3 linked regions of the Saccharomyces cerevisiae S288C genome follow. The protein of the gene in region 1 binds, or shares a complex with, the protein of each later gene. Each region holds a gene or a part of one and is shown on either strand. Other genes may lie near its edges. A codon is read from its position in the direction of its gene.

Region 1 (8,260 bases):
CAGGCTGGCAATTCAGTGGCCAGTTTGAAGTTAGTGAATGAGTTATTGGACATTTTTAGGCTGGTATCTTGATTCTAAATCGATTTTGCAAGACTAGAGGAATATGTATTAAAATTCACTGAATGCAAGTAAAATATTAAGTAAAAGAAAGCATTGATTATGAAGAAAGGACCTTTTTAAGATATGAGAACAATGAGAAAAGGAAAAATGGGACGAAACAAATAGGGAAAATTCCGTCTGTAAAACCAATTGTAGTAACAAAAAACGCTCATTTCAATAGCAAAAAAATAGAATACCGTCAATGGATATATATAGACACGGGACATTATAACAACGTGCAGATGGTGATGATTGCAAACCCAAAAAATTACCAGCTTCCTGTAATTCCAGGTTGAGCGCGTGGCTTCCTATAATCCAATACACCCACACCCACCCAGATCGTGATTTTTGTTACCATCCCGGTTCTTGCCTCATTGACATATTTTTCTGACGGTGACAGAACGTGGCCTTGTACACTCTTTTTTAATGTTACGCTGGCACAACATAGTTCAACGAAAAACGAATTAAGTTCTTACTTCCGTGTTTTAATCAGAAAACGATATTCCAATGAGAGATATAAGCGTAAGGTAGCATGTCCGATGGCAAAATTCTCTTTGCTTCCGCAGCGGGGCCAAAGTCTTACTCGCCTCTAACCCCACGTAGGACAAGTGCTGAGAATAAAATAGTCTTGGCGTAGTATGCCTTCTTCAGTAATATTTTTTCTTTTGAAAGTACTACCCACATCCGAACATTGCCACTTACATAGCGATGCAAATAGCCGCCAGGAAATGCCGCATGTTATCCACTAAGAATAGTCAACATTGCATAGCATCCAAATACGTGAAAGCGGACCGATCTTGAGCGAAATGTTTAGTACCGTTGATGTGTAGAAGTAGTGCCCTGAAATACATAGCGGTGTATTATTTAGCATTAACATACAAAAAAAAAATAACGGAGGCACCAATGGAAGTGGTGTCGCTACATTAGTTTTTAACTCAGTCAGAAAACTGAATTTAGTTGATATGGGACCGCTCCAAGGTAGGAGAATACTAGATCAAGTAAAGCAACCGCACTAGTGCCTTTTTCAAACAAGGTGGTTTGATGAGGAGGCTTTCTACAATCCTAGAAATATAAGACATCTGTCAGATTAGCCGCCGTTCATATGGTTTCAAAAGGTTGCGAATGGAGACAAACGTTCCTCGTCCCAAATTAGCCAGACGGAACAGGACAATAAAGGTGATAATGTAATCCATGACTTCCTCTATTTTAGACGGGACTTTTAGCATCCTCTAAATATTTTCAACCCATACATGTCATCAGCATCGGTGAACATCTTTAATAGTATCGACAACTTGGCTCACGTACTTCTCACCGTCAAGTGCGATTTCCGGGTCATGCAATACCTCGTCTGGTTCTTGATCTTTATTCGTGGCAGAATTATGCTGATCCTTATGAGGAGGGCTCCTCAGCTTGGCATACTTTAGTCGCTGATTTCTTTCCCTCATTAATCGCAGTAGTTGAGCGTGCGACTTGCGCATTTGCGTGAGATTGCTCTCAAAATCTCGTGGGAACCCGTCGTTGACGATAGGTTCTTTCGCCATCTTCTTCACATCATCCAGTGTATCGATTTCAGACCATGATACGTCTTGCGTCTCCGTAGGTGCCAGGTTTGAGTGCATTGTTATACGGCTACCATTTACGCTTCTTTCGTATGCAGTATTACCCCTACTAATGCTGGTCGTTAAGGGGTTTAGTGCTGGAGGCGTGGTTAGGTTTTTGGTCGGAAGTGCGTTGGAACTGCCCATTATAGAGGCAGTGGAATCTGAAGATCCCTTTCTTTTATCTTTGTCGCTCTTTGCCTTTAATTGAACCAGCTGAGGGTTTCCTTCCTGGCTACTAGATTTCCTTCTGTTGGTGGAATCCGCGTCGCTTACTTTCACCTGGACTGGTGGGGTTTGCTTCACTCCCATTATTTGTCTTCGTTCGTGCCAGCAACATACATTTCATCTTATTTCTCTGGAAGGTTTTTACAACAACCAGTTACATTTTTCATTTTTCTGTTCTTCGCCTTTCTTGTTTTGGCCCCGATGACTGAGCGAAAAAAAAAAGGCTAAAGAAGACGCTATGATAACCGCCGAGCAGGTCAAGTACGATGTCGAAAAAGCATCTAATAGTTACATATCGGATTAGGTTATACTTATTACATATCACTTCCATGCTGTTATTTTTTTCAGTGTGAATTATGGCCTGAAAGCACCTCCTGCAAGGGCTAAATTGCTTCTGCTGAACTTGACCTTAAAAACAGGCGTCTTTTTGGTGTAGAACGACGCTACTAAATCGCTTGTAGGTATTACTGTTCTTCTGCGACCATATTCTTTTATATCTTGGTTTATAGATGCAGTAACGTCACCCAAGTATCCAATGAATGGCTCATCTGGTTCTGCGCTTGGCTCAGTAGTGGCCTTTTTCAAATCCCATACACGGACTGTATGATCGGCACCTCCACTAATAAGTACGTTTCCCTCTTTGCTATATGATAAGGAATAAATGGCATTCTTACCATGGCCACGCATTTGTTTCAACCTTTTGCCGGTACCAATATCCCATACATTAATAATACCATCTTCGCTACCAGTGGACAACCACCTACCATCTGGACAAACAGCAATAGAAATGACGGGCGCAGTATGTCCAAGAAATAACCTAACCGAGTCGCCTGTAGAAACGTCCCACATTCGACACGTCTTATCGCTGGATCCCGTAAACACATAGCAACCGTTCGGATGAAATGACACACAATCAACATCATTTAAATGTCCTGCAAATATTCTTAATGGATATATGTGATCGCATGACCATAACCTTGCGGTTTGGTCGTGCGATGCAGTGGCGAAATAATGGCCTAGCGGGGAGAAACTAACATCCCACACAGGGTGATTATGGCCCTTATAGCTTACTAGCGCGGTGTGAGTATCCATGGACCATAGCCTGACGGTTTTATCTTCAGAACCAGAAAGTAAATACTTATTATCCGGACTGAAACTTGTTGAATATACTGTACCACTGTGCCCCACCAAAGTTTTACACGTTGGGTCTTCATCCTTGTCGTTGTTATTTAACGCGATGTTAGGATTATTAAGTGATGAGCCGTCGAGTGACCAGATCTTGATATAACTGTCTTGAAAGCCAGCAGCCGCTATCCTACAATCATCACTGAAATCTAAACATGACATGTCTTTATTTGTGTTTTGGAATGTATACATGCACACGCTTGGTAAGGCCAACTGTAAATTATCTAGTTTGATGGCATCACGAGATTCCTTGACCTTCTGAATCTCCAACTTCAAATCTAGTGCCGTCTTTGGTGGTAAAGGTAAAATATCACGTGCTGGCGAAGATAAATTGCTGTCTTTTTTTTCACCATCCACCTTCAATTCGCTCTCTTTTTTTTCCTCATCTTTGGCGATTTTATCTTTAATTTTGTCTTTATCATCGTCGCCAGTATTATCCTTAAATTTTTCGTTATTCATAGCTTTATATTCTTGCAATAAGGTTCTATTGTTGGCTCCACTGTAATTGTCACCTGCAGTTTGTTGATTTAGTTGTTTCTCTTGATCATCCTTAATTTTCAATTCAGTTTCAATCTCCTTAACAAACTCCTCGTCTTTTGGGAAAGGTCCCAGCTTGACAGGAACAGAATTCATTTCTAAATTTTGTTTACCATTTCCGTTTTCACTATCACTGAGAACTTTTATTCCATCAGCCAATTTTTCCCTTGCGGTTACTGATTCTACAATATTTGGATCTAGGTGCTGATTTATTACACTAATTATTAATGAACCTCCAATACTCTCATTTTCATTCAAAAAATATAAGAGAAGATTTAAAGTGGTTTTAGACATAGTAATTCTGTACTTGTGAGATTGGAAAGCACTTGCGACCTCATTTTCCTTGATGTGATCTATAGAATTGACACTGAAAAGTCTATTAATTTCTGAGCCATGGAAGTCCTTAAAATCGGGAGAAAATCTATCAAAGAAACGACGGGCGTAAACAGGATTTTTGGCCACCAAATTTAAAAATAAATAAATGAATATTGGGTACATGATGTAGCTTAGTTCCGGCTTGTAAATTTCCAGCGACGAATCTACCCAGTTTTTCAACATTGAATATGCACGTATATAATTTTCAGGTGCGTTGAGCCCTTCTAGTCGCCCGCTAGATACTATACCACCTTCTGCATCTCTCTTGGATGACAAATTAGTTGGATTGCTTATGGGTTTAGCTGTCTTCCCGGGGTTCGGAGGAATTGATGATTGTTCAGGAAATTTACCTGTTTTAGTATTTGCTGGTGATTGTTTGTTTTGAGGTGTTAGTGTACGTCCACTCTCGGCTCTCAGCATGGCCTCTGTACGGTGGTATCCCTTTTTATTCAGGTACTCTAGGACAATTCTATTCAAGTCTGACGCCGAAAACGGACCATTGGACCTCCCCTGCTGTTGAGACTGGCCTTGACTCTGTTGCTGTGGCTGCTGGCCGGAATTGGCGCCAGCAGCATTATTAGTTCGTTGATTCTTTACTGGTTGTGGCTGATGCGTGCCATTTTGATTCTGATTCGTACTTTGCTTCTGTGACATTCTTATTTTTCAAGTATCTCAACTTGAACCCGGAGTTTCTCGTATCTTTTCTCCTTCTCTTTTCCTACCCTTATGCCTGCTTTATTGCTCTTTCTGCCACTTTGTAGACTTCATTTGAAATCTTGAAACTTTTTTGCTTTTGAACAATTCATCTGAACCCGTAAAAGATGATATTTACAGCTACTTTTACCCGGCTAAGGGGAGAATTCCATTCAACGGAACGAGCTCTATAAGACGTTCTCTAACTGCATGTAGTGAAATATTTTGAACCATTTGATATGCAGATACTTTCACGGTGTTGCACGGCTGTATAATATACAATAGGCCGTTACAGCAGAACACAATTTTTAGTTTAGACCCAACAAGGTGAACCATACGAACTGATATGAGGTTTCTTTCAAAAAGGATACTGAAACCTGTACTTTCAGTGATCATTCTAATATCGATTGCCGTAACCGTTGTTCTTTACTTTTTAACGGCGAATGAGAACTATTTGCAAGCAGTCAAGGATAGTGCCAAGTCCCAGTATGCTTCTCTCCGGGAGAGCTACAAAAGTATTACAGGTAAAACTGAAAGCGCTGATGAACTTCCTGATCATGATGCTGAGGTGTTAGATAGCATAATGGACAGGCTACACGAGCCCCTTTATGAAAAGGACACTTTTGACCCGAATGAAGTCCTTGCTGAAAATAAACAGTTGTACGAGGAGTTTTTACTTCAAGAAATTTCTGAGCCAAAGGTGGACAATTTGGTACGTAGCGGGGATCCGTTAGCCGGCAAGGCAAAAGGAACTATTTTGAGTTTGGTGAGAAATTCTGATTTAGAGGATATAATTTCTTCTATTCAACAGCTAGAAGAGGAGTACAATAAGAATTTTGGATATCCCTATACCTTCCTTAACGATGAGGAATTTACTGACGAATTCAAAGATGGAATAAAAAGTATTCTTCCTAAGGACCGTGTAGTAGAATTTGGCACTATTGGTCCAGATAACTGGAATATGCCTGATAGCATAGATAGGGAGAGATACGACCAAGAAATGGACAAAATGAGTAAAGAGAACATTCAGTATGCAGAGGTGGAATCCTATCATAACATGTGTCGTTTCTATTCTAAAGAATTTTACCATCATCCTCTGCTATCTAAATATAAATATGTGTGGAGATTAGAGCCAAACGTGAATTTCTATTGCAAAATTAACTATGACGTTTTCCAATTTATGAACAAGAATGACAAGATTTATGGGTTTGTTTTGAACCTCTATGATAGTCCGCAAACCATCGAAACGCTATGGACTTCAACTATGGATTTTGTCGAGGAACACCCAAACTATTTGAACGTCAACGGAGCCTTCGCATGGCTAAAAGATAACTCTCAAAATCCAAAAAATTATGATTATACTCAAGGGTATTCAACTTGTCATTTCTGGACCAATTTTGAAATAGTCGATTTAGACTTTTTGAGGTCAGAACCTTATGAAAAATATATGCAATATCTTGAAGAAAAGGGAGGATTCTACTATGAAAGGTGGGGTGATGCCCCTGTAAGAAGTTTGGCACTTGCTTTATTTGCGGATAAGTCAAGCATCCATTGGTTCAGGGATATAGGTTATCACCATACTCCGTACACGAACTGTCCAACTTGTCCAGCAGATTCAGATAGGTGTAATGGAAATTGTGTACCAGGCAAATTCACTCCTTGGAGTGATCTAGACAACCAAAATTGCCAGGCAACCTGGATAAGACACTCTATGTCTGAGGAAGAGTTAGAAATGTATTGAAGACATTAGCTTTGAGAATTTGTGCCGCTGCTTTCGAGAACGGCATCACATCTGGGGTTTTATGATTTAATTTAGGACGCACATAGATAGATATATATTATGGAATTAAGAAAAGTTTATAATGTAGCAACCTAAAAATGTTACAGGTGAACATTCATGGAAAATGAAATGTTTCTCAGCCAGTAGATAGTATTGTTGAAGGTATTATTGGTTTGAGAAAGCTACTCCTCAAAAATGTCACTTGATAATATGGAATTATAATGTCGTTATATTTTCAATCATTTCAATACAATATGGTAAACCGAAATCCAAAAACTTTACAATATCTCTTATCTATTGTTATTCGACATTCTTCCCGGGCCTTAACGGCTTCTTAACTAATATTACCCTAAACGGACAAATGGCGAAGGGCCCCATTCATTTACGAACAGGAAAAAAAGAAAGTGACAATACAGCCATAATTTGATGTACCATCTTAATCAGCATATGTTTTCACTAATATACTAAACCCATATGGATGCACGTTGAAAGCACTGTGTGAAAAGAAATTGTCAAGAAAGCCATATAAATGCTGAAAAACTTCAAACTCTCAAAAAGAGATAGTAATGGGTCGAAGGGCAGAATTACATCCGCAGATATTTCCACACCTTCTCATGATAATGGGAGTGTTATAAAGCATATTAAGACAGTACCAGTGAGGTACCTTTCTTCATCTTCCACCCCAGTGAAAAGCCAACGGGACTCTTCACCAAAAAACAGACATAATTCTAAAGATATTACTTCTCCAGAGAAAGTTATAAAAGCCAAATACAGTTATCAGGCACAAACTTCAAAGGAACTATCTTTCATGGAAGGTGAATTTTTTTATGTATCTGGAGATGAGAAGGATTGGTATAAAGCTTCAAATCCTTCTACTGGAAAAGAGGGTGTTGTCCCCAAAACCTATTTTGAAGTGTTTGATAGAACTAAACCTTCCTCTGTGAATGGATCCAATAGTTCAAGTCGGAAGGTTACAAATGATTCATTAAACATGGGATCGTTATACGCCATTGTTTTATATGACTTTAAGGCAGAAAAAGCTGATGAGTTGACAACTTATGTGGGAGAGAATTTGTTTATTTGCGCCCACCATAACTGTGAATGGTTCATTGCTAAGCCAATTGGTCGACTTGGAGGGCCCGGCCTTGTTCCTGTTGGGTTTGTTAGCATCATAGATATTGCCACGGGGTACGCAACAGGTAACGACGTAATAGAAGACATCAAGTCAGTTAACCTACCAACTGTTCAAGAATGGAAAAGCAACATTGCAAGATACAAAGCTAGTAATATTAGCCTTGGTTCTGTGGAGCAGCAGCAGCAGCAATCCATTACAAAACCTCAGAACAAAAGCGCAAAGCTGGTTGACGGTGAATTATTAGTGAAAGCATCCGTTGAATCCTTTGGGTTAGAAGATGAGAAGTATTGGTTTTTGGTTTGCTGTGAATTATCTAACGGTAAGACGAGGCAACTGAAAAGATACTATCAAGATTTCTACGATCTGCAGGTTCAACTTTTGGATGCGTTCCCAGCAGAGGCCGGTAAGTTGAGGGATGCAGGTGGACAATGGTCCAAACGTATAATGCCCTATATCCCTGGACCCGTTCCATACGTTACCAATAGCATAACAAAAAAAAGAAAGGAGGACTTGAATATATATGTGGCAGACCTAGTGAATCTTCCCGATTATATATCTCGCTCAGAAATGGTGCATTCCTTATTCGTTGTTTTGAATAATGGTTTCGACAGAGAATTTGAAAGAGACGAA
Region 2 (7,477 bases), on another chromosome or scaffold:
GGCGGGTGGGCTTCGCATTTTTGGTTGAAGAATCATAGGGGTGACTTAAATGCGAAAACAAAAATGATTGTATTCAGTTCGGGGTTGGTCTTAGGTGAAGGTATCTTTAGCGTAATAAACATGCTCTTCATCTGCTTAAATGTCCCTCACTATTAGGTATATAATATTTTACTAATAAAGAATTTACAAAGTTTACAAATTTTAAATTATTTACTCATCACATAATTCGATGTCTTAGATTTCCCTGTATATATATTTCTAGGTGACAAAAATCCTAGGCAAAATGTTATATTATACGCGACCTTGAAATATCGGCTATCTTGGTGTACAACATGGTCCATTTAAGAAAAATAAAAAAAAGTGATGGGCACTGTTAAAACAGGCAGAAGCCTCATTCATAACTGCTGAAGGGTTAAGATCGTATAGGTAGGAACGATCTGACCTCTCATAATGGAAACATGGGAAGTCATAGCATCGGTAAAAGAAGCAACAAAAGGCCTTGACTTGAGCTTAGATCATCCACTTATTATTAAATCCGAGGACGTGCCCAGTAACATTCTCCAATTACTGCAACAGAAGAATCGACGTCAATTGAAACACATCTGCATGAAATCAAGAAAAGAGTATTTTCTACTAGAGGAATATGGGCCAGGATTTTGGGTTAAGTGGCCGTACAATTATTTCAATGGTTACAGCTTACCAGAAAGGCGTACGGAAGTTGTAACGACAGTTGAAAGAGAAAGAGCTAAGCGTGAAACGTTAAAAACATGGGACGAATTGAAATTTAAAGAGCTTCTTCATTTATGGTCAGAAGAACCCAAGGGCTCGTGTAAGCTTGAGAAGGACAAAGACCTTAAACTGGATATGAATCCCCCAGATATGAAAGGCGAATCAAAAATTAATGACTACTATTCAGACCCTAAAGAGTACATAGAAAGTAAGTATTATGATGCTCTTTTTTCCATACATACGCCTCTCGCATATTTCGTCAAGTCAAATTTAGTAAGGCTCAAAAATACCTGCCGAACCAAGTACGGAAGTGACAGTTACAAAATAGCCTATCAAGCCATGCTGCAAAAATTTCTTCTCTCAATTGTACAATTCAAAGATAGACATGATAACAGGCTTTTATTAGAGCCCTTTTCTAGTCCCATAGCAGATGAAAAAAGGAAGAACTGTCTCACAAAATTTGTTATCCAAGATGAAAACAAAAACAGCTCAACCATTGCTGATTTATGTGTTGTATTAAAATCCCGCGAAATAAAGCTACAAATATTATTGCTATTAGAGATAATAGGATTGAACGATTTAGATTGGAATTTTAGAGATTTTGAGAAAAAGTATAAATTAAAATTGAAGAAAAGATCACTTAATTTGACAAAAAAGGGATTAGTTCGTCGAAGATCGAAGAAAAAAACCAGCGAAAAAGACAAAGGAATCGAGAGAATAACAACATCTTTGGATTATTGTGAACAGTTAGACTTGTACTTAGATAGAGCATGCATCTTGGACATTCTACTATCAAGTGAAACGCCCAACCCAGATGCCATAGAAGCATCAAATGGAACAATACAAGAGCATAAAAAAAATATCCTAGACAAAAGCAAAGAAGCCTCATTGGTTGGGTTCATAAATTATGTTCTTATTCCATATTTCAACAAAAAGGTACCACACGCCGTTGAATTTATAATTCAAAAGCTCAAGGGACCAAGCATGAGACCAAAGAGAGCCCTGAAAAAGGTCAACGATAGCACAAATGTATCGTCACCTAATACTGTAGAAACGTATAACAGGTTATCCACGAGTCAACGTGCCTCTCGCTCTTCAATCATTAATTCCGTCCCATCTTCACCCGCATTGAGAAGGGTGGACGCTAATTTGTTCAGCAGAAAATCTATAGCTTCGCCCACCCCTGAACTTTTGAATTCTAGAACGAACTCTAACTTGAATGAATTTCTCGAAAGTGAAACTAGAAGCTTAAAGCGCCCTTCACAATTGGGAAGGACGAAGTCTGATCTAACGATGAATCATTTACAAAAACGGCAGTTTTCTGTCTCTGACTTAAGCACAACAAGAGTACCGAATTCATCAACTATCACACTCAAAACGCCTTTCTCGCACTCAACTATTAATGCATACAAAACTATGAATAACTCTTTTCGCAGAGTTGGGAAACGTAAAGATATCAATGAAACGATACGCCTACATGAACGTGTAGACTCTGAGGAAAACGTACAAGTTCAAGCCACTCCTGCTGTGAAAAAAAGAACTGTGACACCTAATAAAAAGGCGCAACTTCAAAGCATCATTGAATCGCCGCTAAATTTCAAGGATGATGATACGCATGAAGGCAGAAAAAATACCTCCAATATTACCTCTACTCCCACTAATAAGCCCCCGGAAAATAGCTCAAAAAGGAGAGTAAGAAGACGTTTATTTGCTCCAGAATCCACATAGAATAAGAAACTGCGAGACCACCTTCGCTGGCAAGTAGTTGACCCAACTCCATCTTTGTAGCTTTTCTTGGACGAAAAGGGAATAAAATAAAACTAAGCTACAACAATTTCGCACTTCGGGGGCCTTTGAGTATACAATTAAATAACTCATCATGCATATATATATATATACATACAATGGCGTATGTAAAAACTGTTATATAACATTACCGTTGTACTATTAGTATAAACCGATTCTCACTATTCGCCAAAAAATATCGCACTAATTAATTCTTTTGCGTCGTCTCTTTTCAAAATGTGAAATCCAATAGTGACACCACACCTCTCTAGCAATTTTTCCTTATCCTCATCCGTAACTTTTTCACCTTTACCCTCGTACAAATCTGGTAAATCCTTTTTTAGAACTAACAATGCACTAATTACAGTATCAACCAAGATTTGAGTTTCTTCTTTAGTAAATTTGGTCCTAGTTGGATTGGAGTCATCGTTCAAATGTTCCTCTATATTGTCTAGAGTTATTCCGCTTTCATTGAATACCAAGCGCGCCCAATTATTTAGGTTTCCTAAGAAGAATCTGATGGATTCACCTTCTAGTACCGATACACCCTTTAAGCACCCATAGTAAGTCCCAAAAACACGGTTTATGTCCAAAAATGTCTTTAGCAGTGTCCTAGTTACTCTTGGCTTCAGGGATTTGTATGCTTGAGGAAATTTTTTCAATACATAGTCCAACAAAGATGCGGCAAAATCACGTAGTGCATTCGTTCTTTCTAAAAATTCATGAATTTCTTGCGGCGAATCATCTTTTGGTGATCCACCAAGTTTTTTTGCTAATAGCAAGGTTAAAATGGAAGGCATTAACGAATGAATATAAGGGTCCAGGAAAATAGAAGTATTGCTTAGTAAAGAGTAAATCATTTCCAAAATTGTTGTTAGCAATTGTAAATCGGAAAGATTTTGTGTGATTTGTTCGGCAATAAATTGAATAAAATATGGAACCAGTTGGTGCAGGCCACTATCAGTTCGTAGTGAAGTCAAAGCTGCTTGTTTCATATGCTGTGCAGCTTCATCAGCTTGACTCTTCGCTGTCAAGGTTGAAATGACCTTATTGAAATAAATCTGTAATTCTTTGGATAAAACGTGTTTCACTAAAGGTTTGACTTCAGTATTCTGTCCTGGTTTAACATTAGACAGGTGTTGAGAGGCGCCTGTATCCGTCACAGAAGCACTTGCTGTCGTCGACGTTACAGGTGTTTGGAGGCTGTTATCATTCAAAGCAGTGACAATAGCACCTCTAATAAATGGTGGTTGGGATACCCTTATATCATTCAAATTTGGATTTTGGATTATGGCAGGTTGAACCCCTTCAACTGCTAGCCAATGTGTAGTAAAAGTTGGTAGACGAGGCACTTGCGGTAATGGCTCATTTATTAATCTATCAAAATCTACTTCTTCCTCATCCAGGTAGTAAACCGACTGTCCTCCACTTGTGTTAACCTTACTAAATGATACAGCTTTATTAACTTCAGAGCCATCATAATATCCATATAAAGGTTCCACATTCAGAACACGCAGGGCCTTCGATACATCGTCTGTAGTTAAAACATCTCTTTTAGAGTGTCTTTTAAACTTGACTGCCTGTTCAATAATCTCTAGAATACGGTATTCAACGTCCATAGCAAGTGCTTTCAACACGTCATCGTTGATATTTTCCAACCCAAGCGACTCAGCGACATCTTTAACAGTATCTTGTGGAGACCAAATTGTGTAAGATTGCTGCTGTGTAGACATTTTAACAGGCTATCAACTACACTGAGGCGTCCTTTGCTTCCTTTTTAAAGCCAATCTATTGTTTTCGCTCATGAACTACTTTTGCTGCTACTTGAATCGGTGTTTGTTATTGATGGTTTCCGGGTATTTTTTTGGTAATAAAATAAAGCTGAAAAATTTTGTAAAGCGATGCCCAATCTCGAAGCCTCACTTCAATGAACATAATACAGAGAAAATTTAACCATAAATAGGCCCAGCTTCGATCGTAAAATGAGGTTACTAGTCAGCTGTGTGGATAGTGGATCCATAAAGGAAGTTTTGTGTAACATCGGGACTGACACTTCCGTACAATCAGCACTGCAGCCTTTTCATGTGGCACCTCATCTAGCCGAAGGATTGAAAGCTTACGTTGACAGGATGTGGGTGATATCCGAAGATGAAGCCATCTTAGCAAGGAATTCAGGGGTCGTCGAACTTGTAAAGATTTCGAAACACCTTAAAGAAAATGAAGCTCTCCAGGTCGATCCCAAAGGAGAAAGCAAAAATGAAAAGAGCCTTTCCGATGATCTACCCAAATTTGACATATCCGAGTTTGAGATAACCAGCTCAGTTTCAGACCTTTTTGATGATGCCAAATTGGAATCACTTTCAAGTAAATCTGTTAAAAGAACCAAGTTGGTGGATGGTTTTGTCACATTATGTCCCATAAAAAAGGATTCGTCGAATAACACATTCGTAGCTGCTACCAAATCGGGATTATTACATATTATAAAAAAAGGAGAAGATAAAAAGTTAATAAAACTAGCATCCCTTGGACTGAAAGCACCAGTAGAATTTCTTCAGTTATATGATCTAGAAGATACCGATACTGATAAATATATATTTGCATACGGAGGGGAGGAGAATTTAATAAAATTAGTGGAAATAGATTCGAGTTTCCAATCTTTAAAGCAAATTTGGGAAGCCAAGAATGTTAAAAACGACAGGTTGGATATGAGAGTCCCAGTATGGCCCATGGCCCTAAGATTTTTGGAGCCCTCCCCTGGTAAAACTGAAAAGGGTAAGCTGAACTACCAGTTTGCAGCCATAACCCGTTGGTCCCACCTCACCAAATACAGCACACAACATGGCAGAAAACCGTTCGCTCAGATAGATTTATTACCTAACCGTGAACCATTATCTCAGATGGAAGTTTTTGATGCCAAGGGAGAAAATGTTGTCTCTTCGTTGGGGAATTTTCAATCTGAAACCTTTAATGAACTGAATGTGATTACTACTGACTACAAAAAGAATGTTTTTAAATTCGATGGTAATGGAAGAATGTTGGGCAAGGTGGGTAGAGATGATATCACTGGTTCGTCAACCTATATTCATGTACATGACGGCAAATATCTTTTACAAGGTGGTTTAGATAGGTATGTTCGGATCTTCGATATAAAAACTAACAAAATGCTGGTGAAGGTTTATGTTGGGTCCCGTATAAATTTTATTGTTATGCTGGATGACGTTGAAATCGAGATGCCACTAAGTCCAAGTGCGAAAGCTGCCAAAGGGAAGCAAAAAAGGAAGGTTACAGAACTTGAAGAAGACGCAGATGAGCTTTGGAATAAATTGGAGGGAAAGGTAGCTGCTTCTAAAGCCAGTAAGAAAAGCAAAATTTAATAGTAAAGGACGCTAATTGAAGGCAAAGTTTTACTAGTCGGCGGGAAAAATTATTAAAAAAAGCACTTCCTGAACGCGACGCTGAATAACTTATAATACGTTACATAATTGTATACCGTCTAGTAAACTTACATACGCTTGTCTATCTTGTATGCTGATGCATTTTATCAAATAGCGTTATTTCCCGCACGAGCCAATTTTTTATCGTGCCCCTTCTTACGGTTATGGTTAGCTCTAGCCCCTTTCCTTTTTTCATTCTTAGCATGCTGTCTTTTCTTCTGTTCAGTAGATTGAGGTTCATGTTTCTTAATATTTTCAGATTTTTTTTGTTTGGCTTGTTCTTTGACGACATTTCCATCATTTTGGCTATCACGATTATGAACATAAGACGTTTTCCCTGTTTTGCTATTTCCTTTGAACATAAACTTCTTTTCTAAAAGTCTTGCTCGGGTAGGAGATCTTTCTAACATCCGACACCAACCTTCGATTTTTTCATCCGACCATGAAGTCATTTCTTTCATAGTTTTCCTGACTTTTGTACCTCTTTTTGATCTCTCAAATAATTTCGGATCCTCTTTCAATAGATTCCACAAGTAAGCTTCAACAATATGATAGTTATGATCTTGTCGCACTTCATTAGAATCATCTTTTGTATCATAGCTTTCTTCGTCTTCTTGAAGTCCAATTCTTTTCGAAGGATCGGACCGGTTCACATCGGCTTCATCATAAGTGTCATCCCTTTCATCTTCATCAGCCTCGTATAAAAGTTTCAATGCTCTTGTCAAAGTTTTATTTCTTAATTCATCCGGAACACCCTCCGAGATAATCTTTTTGTCTAGCTCTTTATTTTTTGAGCTATCTCCTCTATCCAATATACTCAGTTCTTCAGTAAAGGATGCATTATCACCATCTGACACCGGCTCTACTTCTTCCTCCGCAGGTTCTCTGGAGAATGCTTCGATAATGGTAGGATCCTCAAATATTTTATTCGTTACTAATTCAATGTTATTATCATAGGCAAGCAACGTTTGAGATAATTGATATTTAGAAAACTGGGGGAACAATTCCATCAACGCGGACAGTTGTTCTTCATTAACTTCAGTACCTGATGATGTTGGATAGCTCATATGGTCTCCTTCGTCCATTGACAACCCCCCTAAATTCAGAAATAGTAACTTGCTCTTCAAATCAGGAAGCCTTTTGTGGACTCCTTCATTTATGAGCATTGTTCCTAAAAGAGGATATAACGCCAAAGTTTCAAAATTGCTTATGCCTAATTCTTTAGTTATTTTTAGTAAACGATCAGCAGAAACAGAAAATAAACTGATAATGATCAATTCTCTAGCCTCTTTATGACCCCGGCCCTGTCCCTTTGCCCATAATGCCTCTAAAATTTCAATCCAATTTGCCGTAAAGAAGTTCTCCGCAAACTTATTTGGCTGCATGGATTTGGCAGACAGCAGATCTTCAACGCACCTTAAATCTATTCTTTTAAATTTTCCAGATTCTATTAACTGCTTCAAATGCTGTTGAACTTGGTACGATTTGTCCAATTGTACACGTTGCGTGTTGATCCGTGGTTTCAATGA
Region 3 (6,741 bases), on another chromosome or scaffold:
GTCACCTATAATTTGTTTGCTGGCGCGAAGGAGAAAGAAAATTTTAATTAATTCATGAAAAGCCTTAAGAAAAAGTTTAAGAGGAAATGAGCAAATAGAAGGCAAATAGAGGGTGAAAGCATTATGGCCGACATCAATAAATATATTCCGATGGTTGACGCTATTTTGAGCGTATCCAACCCCGATGAAATAAGCCCAAAAAGGGTGAGGAAAGCCCTGCAAATTCTCTATTCAGTTAATTTGGATTCACAAAGAAAGTTAATTAATGAATTGATTCTTGAGAGGTTCGGCGATATACAAGAAAACCCAAGAGTCTTAATTCCGAAGAACGACCTCATTAGTCGGGATCAAGAACTATCTTTGAGGTTACAGAAGGAAGAAGAAAGACCCTTGAGGTCTACGAGGAAAAGGAAAGGTAAAAGTGAAAGTAAATCTAAAAGGAAGAAGAAAAAGAATGATAGTCCTGATTCCAACAGCATTTCCGTCCGCAAAGTTCTGTTGTCAGCTCCTTTACAAAAGTTTCTAGGATCTGAAGAACTGCCACGAACGCAAGTAGTGAAGATGATATGGCAGTATATCAAAGAGCATGATCTTCAAAACCCAAAAGATCGTAGAGAAATTCTATGCGATGAGAAGATGGAACCAATTTTTGGCAAAAAAATGACGATGTTTTCAATGAATAAACTCTTAACTAAGCACTTGTTTAATCCCGATGAAATTGTGAAACATGAAGAGGAACAAAAGCAAACACCCGAAAAAGAAATCAAATTGGAAAACGAATCTCTTCCCAATTTAAGCGGTTGATCTTGGCTGTAGCACTTATACAAATTTAATGATTTTTTTTCCTCTTTGATGACATGTATAAAGCACACTGCACCTACTGTATTGTACTTGAAACAGGTAAATTAACAATTAATGTAGCATTAGTAATAAATAATTTCACTTCACGGCGTTAAAGAAATACTATGGCAAATTCGATTTGAGAATTTCGTCAAATTCTGATGATATCAATTAATGGCATATTTTTTTTATTTTTTATCTGGAGAAAAAAATGTAAAAATGACAGCAGCATCAACAATGAATAAAAGCAAGTACAATAGTCGTAAAGATCTATATTAATTTCATGGCAGCACAATAATACACGTTGTTTAAATTAGTTAAAGTGTCACTCCTTGCTTATCGAAGGAACTATCGATTCCTAATTATGGCAAGGCAAGGGAACTTCTACGCGGTTAGAAAGGGCAGGGAAACTGGGATCTATAATACATGGAATGAATGTAAAAACCAAGTTGATGGTTATGGTGGTGCAATTTATAAAAAATTTAACAGCTACGAGCAAGCGAAATCTTTCCTAGGTCAACCAAATACTACATCAAACTATGGAAGTTCAACGCATGCTGGAGGGCAAGTTAGTAAACCTCATACCACTCAAAAGCGAGTTCATCGAAGGAATCGGCCACTTCATTATTCCTCCTTGACATCGTCATCAGCATGTTCATCTTTAAGCTCTGCTAATACAAATACCTTTTATTCAGTAAAGAGTAATGTTCCAAATATCGAGAGTAAAATCTTTAACAATTGGAAAGACTGTCAAGCCTATGTCAAGCATAAAAGGGGTATAACCTTCAAGAAGTTTGAAGACCAATTAGCTGCGGAAAACTTCATTAGTGGTATGAGTGCGCATGATTACAAGCTCATGAATATATCCAAAGAAAGTTTTGAATCTAAGTATAAGCTTTCTAGCAATACCATGTACAACAAGTCTATGAACGTTTACTGTGATGGTTCAAGTTTTGGAAACGGCACGTCATCTTCAAGGGCAGGTTATGGTGCATATTTTGAAGGAGCGCCAGAGGAAAATATTTCAGAACCCTTATTATCGGGAGCTCAAACTAATAATAGAGCTGAAATCGAAGCAGTATCAGAAGCTTTGAAGAAAATCTGGGAAAAGTTAACTAATGAAAAGGAAAAAGTAAATTATCAAATCAAAACTGATTCAGAGTACGTAACCAAATTATTAAATGACAGGTATATGACGTATGATAATAAAAAACTTGAAGGGCTACCTAATTCTGATTTAATTGTTCCTTTGGTGCAGAGGTTCGTTAAAGTTAAAAAGTACTATGAGTTGAATAAAGAGTGCTTCAAAAATAATGGTAAATTTCAGATTGAATGGGTAAAAGGACACGATGGTGATCCAGGAAATGAAATGGCAGATTTTCTGGCGAAGAAAGGAGCATCTAGACGATAATGCTGTTTTTTGCTTGGCTTCTTACTGGACCTGTTGTACCTGTAATAGAAATATATATTTTATATCTTTTGCATACATATACATACATCAGCTATTTGGTTTTTTAACTTACCCGATAACTATCTATAAGCGTGTCACCATGATATTTGCCTGAACCTCGTCCACAGTTGATTGTGTTTATTTTTACTTTTATTCATAGCTATTTGATTTCAGTTTCAGCTAAACGTTCAGCAAGATCATCTACTTGTACTTCTAGCAGTTCCTTTTCAAGCCTTTCCGTTTCAATTTCTTCGAGTTTTTCATCCTCGTCCTCGTCTTCCTCGTCCTCGCCTTCCTCATCTTCACTATCGACCTCTTCAAAATCGTCAACCTCTAAATCATCAAATTTGCTTTGGAGCAAATCTAAAGCATCAGAATCTTCATCTAATCTGTTACCATTTATTTCTAGCTTTTCCAATTCAGGTAAATTTCCCTTTTCCATAGCCGGTAAGAAGGATACTTCAATGGTTTCTTGAGCCATTTCATTATATTCGAATTTCAAGACATGCAAATTGGGGAATTTAACTTCGGTGAATACTTTAAAGACTTCATCTGAACCAGCAGTTTTCAAAAGACAGTCGTTCAAATTCAATTCAAATAAACTATCCTTCCATGTAGGCAAGGCCTTAGCAAGGATCAAAGAAGCATGTTTCGTGAAAGTATTGTCTTGAAGATCCAAGATTTCCAAGTTTTTCAAGTACTGTAAACCGTAATGAATTAGCGTGGCGACACCTTTAGGCCTAATACCATTTTGGTACAGCTTTACGACTTTCAAACCTTCGGAGTGGCTTTTCAAACCCAGAGCTAAGTAGACTGCGGATCCATTCTCTAATCTATTTCTACCACAGATAAAAGTTTCCAAAAATGGTTTGGAAGCAGCTTTCTTATTTTGAGCGAGATGAAATAGGGCCTTACCAATCCTTTCACCAGCAAAAGGGCCCATACCATTGTTACTTAAGATCAAATGTTTGATATTCACGGCATGTGCAATGTAATCTTCTAGTAACTCGATTGTTCTTAGCCCAAACGCATTATCAGAAAGGTTCACAATCTCCAAGTGAGGACATTTCAACAGAACAGGCAATAAAAACTTCAACGAATCAACGACTTCGTCAACCAACCTCGAAGTGTATAAGTCAGCAAAATTTACTTCAACCAAAGATTCCCTGACCTGTGTATTTTCAGCGATGCATTTAGCTAATGCTTCCGAAGCTTCAGTACCGATTGTATTCCCTGAAAGGTCTAATTTGGTACAGGTTTTCAAAGCTGCCAATTCTTCCAGGTATGGTTTGATATCGTCACTGGTTGTTAACTTGAGTGCCTTCCCAGAGATGGAGTAAACTTGTTCTTCCTCGTGCTGAGGAACGAAGTGCAAGGTAGCCATAGCTAAAAATCTGTTTCGAAAGACAGCCTGTTAAAATGGCCTATATTCACCTTTTACCGTGATATTATGCCTTTGATCAATATCTTCCTAATAAATTTTTTTCCATTAATTGTCCCACAACGTGCATAGTGACATGCATTCCATGACCAAACTAAGAGCTTTAAATCAAAAGTAGAATTTGACATTATGAAACAACACGACAACAAGAAAAGACTAGAGGACTTCACAGACCATTATGAACGGCGGAGGCAAGAATGTTTTGAATAAAAACTCAGTGGGCTCAGTATCAGAAGTTGGTCCGGACTCAACACAAGAGGAAACGCCACGAGATGTCCGTCTTTTGCATCTGCTCCTCGCATCACAGTCGATTCATCAATATGAGGACCAAGTACCGCTACAATTGATGGATTTTGCACATAGGTACACACAAGGAGTCCTTAAGGACGCGTTGGTTTACAACGACTACGCTGGCAGTGGAAATTCTGCCGGCAGTGGATTAGGAGTAGAAGACATACGGCTTGCCATTGCAGCGAGAACACAATACCAATTTAAGCCTACGGCACCTAAGGAGCTCATGTTACAGTTAGCTGCGGAAAGAAACAAGAAGGCATTACCTCAAGTGATGGGTACGTGGGGTGTCAGGCTTCCCCCAGAAAAATATTGTCTCACAGCGAAGGAGTGGGACCTTGAGGACCCAAAGTCTATGTGAATGCACCGCTTATATATCATAAGTACACTAAATCAAGTTCTTCCGGAAGATGCGTCATGTAGAATGCATAATAGAGTAATATACACTAAATAATGCGCTAGTCGTGTATCGTGATCATGTTCTCTAATGTTCTTTTTCCTGCCTGCCCTTTCCTACATGGAAAGTTAGAGAAATGAGATCTACACGATAATGTAGTAACAAATGGACCCTTAAACATCTCAATTCATCTTCTTGAGAGCACTTTCCGCGCTGTATTGATTTTTAGAACGTGAAAAGGATAAACTGAAAACTTGAAGTCCTAACCATGTTGTCTCAAACCTCCATACCGGAAGTGAAAGAAGACGTGATAGGCTATGCGCTACACCAGAGGAGAGCCAGAGTGGGACAATTCCAAGACTTGGGTCCGCCTGATTTAATTACTTTGATCAAATCGTTACCTTCATCCTCGAGCACAACAACTGCTACTGCCTCCGCCAACGATAACGGAGCAACTTCAAACATCAATGGACAAGATCCTACGACCATAGTTACGGAGTTACATTCCCATGACAAATTAAAGGGGCAGATCGGCACTTTCTTTTACTGTATGGGTATCGATACTTCGGATCCAACTTCTATTACAATCTTTGCCAAAAAGATAACCGATCTTTTCTTAGACACGCCCCAAATTTGGTTTGGTAAGAAGAAGCACTTTCACGTATCGAAGATTTCTATCAGTTCTTGGAATGCGTTTAGGAAATATGATGTTAACATTATAGTTCACATTCCAGGAACTGTGCAAACCTACATTATAAATAGCGACGGTGAACAATCGCAACTTCCCTCCGTGGCAGAAGCGTCATCTGGCCGCAACTCACAGGATTTAAACGTCAACATGATTTGGGCGGAAACGTTTATGAGTGGTATTGTACGTGACATTATGATTATGAAAGATAATCGTGCGGATGGAGAATCCCAGAATTTGGTAGAAACACTAATTTTCAATCCATTTACCTCGGGTGAGTTGGAAGATGTTGCCAATAACTTTATTAAACTGTTCCCCTTGGTCTATGAAAAAGGTGTTTATTTAGATGCACCTACTCACGTTTTAAATCCCTCGTTAACCAATAATTATTTAGTGGAAACTTTAGTGGAAATAGTTAGGTTAACTAAGAGTTTGGAAGCATGTCGTAAAATGCTCAAGAAGTTAATAGAAATTCATCCAGAAGCAGTAATAATATTAATTCGTGTTTATTTTGCGTGCGATTTAGAGATAGATGCAGTTGACCTGATCAACGAGCAACTAAATTCCCCCTCTTCGTTCTTAGCCGACGATTCAAAGACTAGCCATATCCAGCTAATCTTCAAATCCGAATTATTAAGTATTCAAAGTGAATTCTTACTGGATGTCAAGAGAGATTACAAGCTTGCTAAGGAAGTAGCCATGGAGGCTGTTAACTGTGCACCAAACGAATTTAAAACTTGGTATTTATTGACTAGAATATACATTAAACTAAACGATATGTCAAATGCCTTGCTATCGTTAAACGCCTGCCCCATGTCACAGGTTAAGGAAAAATACGTTCTTAGAAGAATTGCGCCTATTACTTCAGATGAAAATCTTCATCTGCCATTACCATTGGATGCCTCAATTGAGGAGATTTCGTCATTGAACCCCATGGATGTCCAGTTGGAGCAAAAGTCCGCAGATCCAAACCTAGTCAATCTCTCTGCGTCAAGTTTAAAGTCTACTTTCCAACTAGCCTATAAATTATTGACAGAAATTGTCCAAATAACAGGATGGGAGCAGCTGTTGAAATATAGATCAAAAATTTTCGTTATGGAAGACGAGTACCAAGGCTCCACTTCTTCCATTGATGAAGCAGAAGTTCGCGGTAATGATATATCCAAAATGAGATCAAAGAGGCTATGCGAAAGATGGTTGGATAATCTCTTCATGTTACTATACGAAGATTTGAAAACTTACACCGATTGGCAATCAGAGCAATTGTATTTTGATGCTCAAAACAGTAAATATCACAAATTAACTGTTGAATGGGAATTATTCGGCCTTTGTGCGAAAAGACTGGGACATCTTCCAGAAGCTGCGAAGGCTTTCCAAATTGGGCTTTCCCAAAGATTTTCTCCAGTATGCGCAAAGAATCTATTACAGTTTTACATTGACGAGCATAAGCGTATTAGGAGGGATTCAGTCTCAGCAAACTCCGAGTTAACCTCTTCTCAAATATTGTCAAGTATCAATGACATCGACAGCTCAATCATCGATCTAGTAGTCAAGATTTGTTGCTGGAATCATCGTTGGTACATCGAGTTCTCAATAATATTAATAGATGCTCTGAGTGTTGCAGTACAAGATAT

What was found.
Region 2: the proteins of TAF5 (region 1) and TAF6 are in contact, whole or in part, in a cryo-EM structure (PDB 6T9I), measured with the Saccharomyces cerevisiae proteins. Residues at the interface, in NP_009757.1 of Saccharomyces cerevisiae: Trp162 (codon at 4,193), Ser166 (codon at 4,181), Leu167 (codon at 4,178), Glu168 (codon at 4,175), Ile169 (codon at 4,172), Tyr170 (codon at 4,169), Lys248 (codon at 3,935), Thr249 (codon at 3,932), Asn252 (codon at 3,923), Leu253 (codon at 3,920), Tyr256 (codon at 3,911), Glu260 (codon at 3,899), Glu434 (codon at 3,377), Ser441 (codon at 3,356), Arg442 (codon at 3,353), Ile445 (codon at 3,344), Lys446 (codon at 3,341), Leu447 (codon at 3,338), Asn449 (codon at 3,332), Leu450 (codon at 3,329), Gln451 (codon at 3,326), Leu452 (codon at 3,323), Ala453 (codon at 3,320), Leu454 (codon at 3,317), Pro455 (codon at 3,314), Ser456 (codon at 3,311), Val457 (codon at 3,308), Cys458 (codon at 3,305), Met459 (codon at 3,302), Tyr460 (codon at 3,299); in NP_011403.1 of Saccharomyces cerevisiae: Gln51 (codon at 4,097), Lys54 (codon at 4,088), Phe55 (codon at 4,085), Arg57 (codon at 4,079), His58 (codon at 4,076), Ser59 (codon at 4,073), Lys60 (codon at 4,070), Arg61 (codon at 4,067), Asp62 (codon at 4,064), Lys71 (codon at 4,037), Val75 (codon at 4,025), Asn91 (codon at 3,977), Pro129 (codon at 3,863), Arg130 (codon at 3,860), Leu131 (codon at 3,857), Pro132 (codon at 3,854), Thr133 (codon at 3,851), Phe134 (codon at 3,848), Thr135 (codon at 3,845), Thr136 (codon at 3,842), His137 (codon at 3,839), Trp138 (codon at 3,836), Leu139 (codon at 3,833), Ala140 (codon at 3,830), Val141 (codon at 3,827), Glu142 (codon at 3,824), Gly143 (codon at 3,821), Val144 (codon at 3,818), Gln145 (codon at 3,815), Ile149 (codon at 3,803).
Region 3: the proteins of TAF5 (region 1) and TAF9 are in contact, whole or in part, in a cryo-EM structure (PDB 6T9I), measured with the Saccharomyces cerevisiae proteins. Residues at the interface, in NP_009757.1 of Saccharomyces cerevisiae: Phe104 (codon at 4,367), Pro105 (codon at 4,364), Gln107 (codon at 4,358), Ser109 (codon at 4,352), Ile110 (codon at 4,349), Pro111 (codon at 4,346), Pro112 (codon at 4,343), Arg154 (codon at 4,217), Tyr539 (codon at 3,062), Arg550 (codon at 3,029), Leu551 (codon at 3,026), Ala559 (codon at 3,002), Leu560 (codon at 2,999), Val561 (codon at 2,996), Ser562 (codon at 2,993), Tyr563 (codon at 2,990), His568 (codon at 2,975), Phe575 (codon at 2,954), Leu578 (codon at 2,945), Gly579 (codon at 2,942), His580 (codon at 2,939), His587 (codon at 2,918), Gln589 (codon at 2,912), Thr590 (codon at 2,909), Leu593 (codon at 2,900), Cys596 (codon at 2,891), Asp597 (codon at 2,888), His598 (codon at 2,885), Ile599 (codon at 2,882), Pro601 (codon at 2,876); in NP_013963.1 of Saccharomyces cerevisiae: Lys106 (codon at 4,225), Pro110 (codon at 4,237), Lys111 (codon at 4,240), Met114 (codon at 4,249), Leu115 (codon at 4,252), Leu117 (codon at 4,258), Ala118 (codon at 4,261), Arg121 (codon at 4,270), Asn122 (codon at 4,273), Lys124 (codon at 4,279), Ala125 (codon at 4,282), Leu126 (codon at 4,285), Pro127 (codon at 4,288), Gln128 (codon at 4,291), Val129 (codon at 4,294), Met130 (codon at 4,297), Gly131 (codon at 4,300), Trp133 (codon at 4,306), Gly134 (codon at 4,309), Val135 (codon at 4,312), Arg136 (codon at 4,315), Leu137 (codon at 4,318), Pro138 (codon at 4,321), Pro139 (codon at 4,324), Tyr142 (codon at 4,333), Cys143 (codon at 4,336), Leu144 (codon at 4,339), Thr145 (codon at 4,342).

The regions. Positions count from the first base shown.
Region 1 is NC_001134.8:613,848-622,107, forward strand, and holds TAF5 (chromatin modification protein), read right to left. Parts: upstream 4,677-8,260; coding exon 2,280-4,676; downstream 1-2,279. Other genes in the region: PGI1 (glucose-6-phosphate isomerase), read right to left, coding at 1-53; YBR196C-A (uncharacterized protein), read right to left, coding at 177-326; YBR196C-B (uncharacterized protein), read right to left, coding at 679-783; YBR197C (uncharacterized protein), read right to left, coding at 1,356-2,009; KTR4 (putative mannosyltransferase), read left to right, coding at 5,062-6,456; phosphatidylinositol-3-phosphate-binding protein BEM1, read left to right, coding at 7,025-8,260. UniProt on the Saccharomyces cerevisiae protein: Functions as a component of both the DNA-binding general transcription initiation factor complex TFIID and the transcription coactivator SAGA complex.
Region 2 is NC_001139.9:295,482-302,958, forward strand, and holds TAF6 (TATA-binding protein-associated factor TAF6), read right to left. Parts: upstream 4,248-7,477; coding exon 2,697-4,247; downstream 1-2,696. Other genes in the region: YGL114W (uncharacterized protein), read left to right, coding at 1-156; SLD3 (Sld3p), read left to right, coding at 451-2,457; ribosome biosynthesis protein NSA1, read left to right, coding at 4,497-5,888; CUE3 (Cue3p), read right to left, coding at 6,056-7,477.
Region 3 is NC_001145.3:739,062-745,802, forward strand, and holds TAF9 (chromatin modification protein), read left to right. Parts: upstream 1-3,909; coding exon 3,910-4,383; downstream 4,384-6,741. Other genes in the region: TRI1 (Tri1p), read left to right, coding at 124-804; RNH1 (RNA-DNA hybrid ribonuclease), read left to right, coding at 1,205-2,251; GTPase-activating protein RNA1, read right to left, coding at 2,451-3,674; BCH1 (exomer complex subunit), read left to right, coding at 4,688-6,741. UniProt on the Saccharomyces cerevisiae protein: Functions as a component of both the DNA-binding general transcription initiation factor complex TFIID and the transcription coactivator SAGA complex.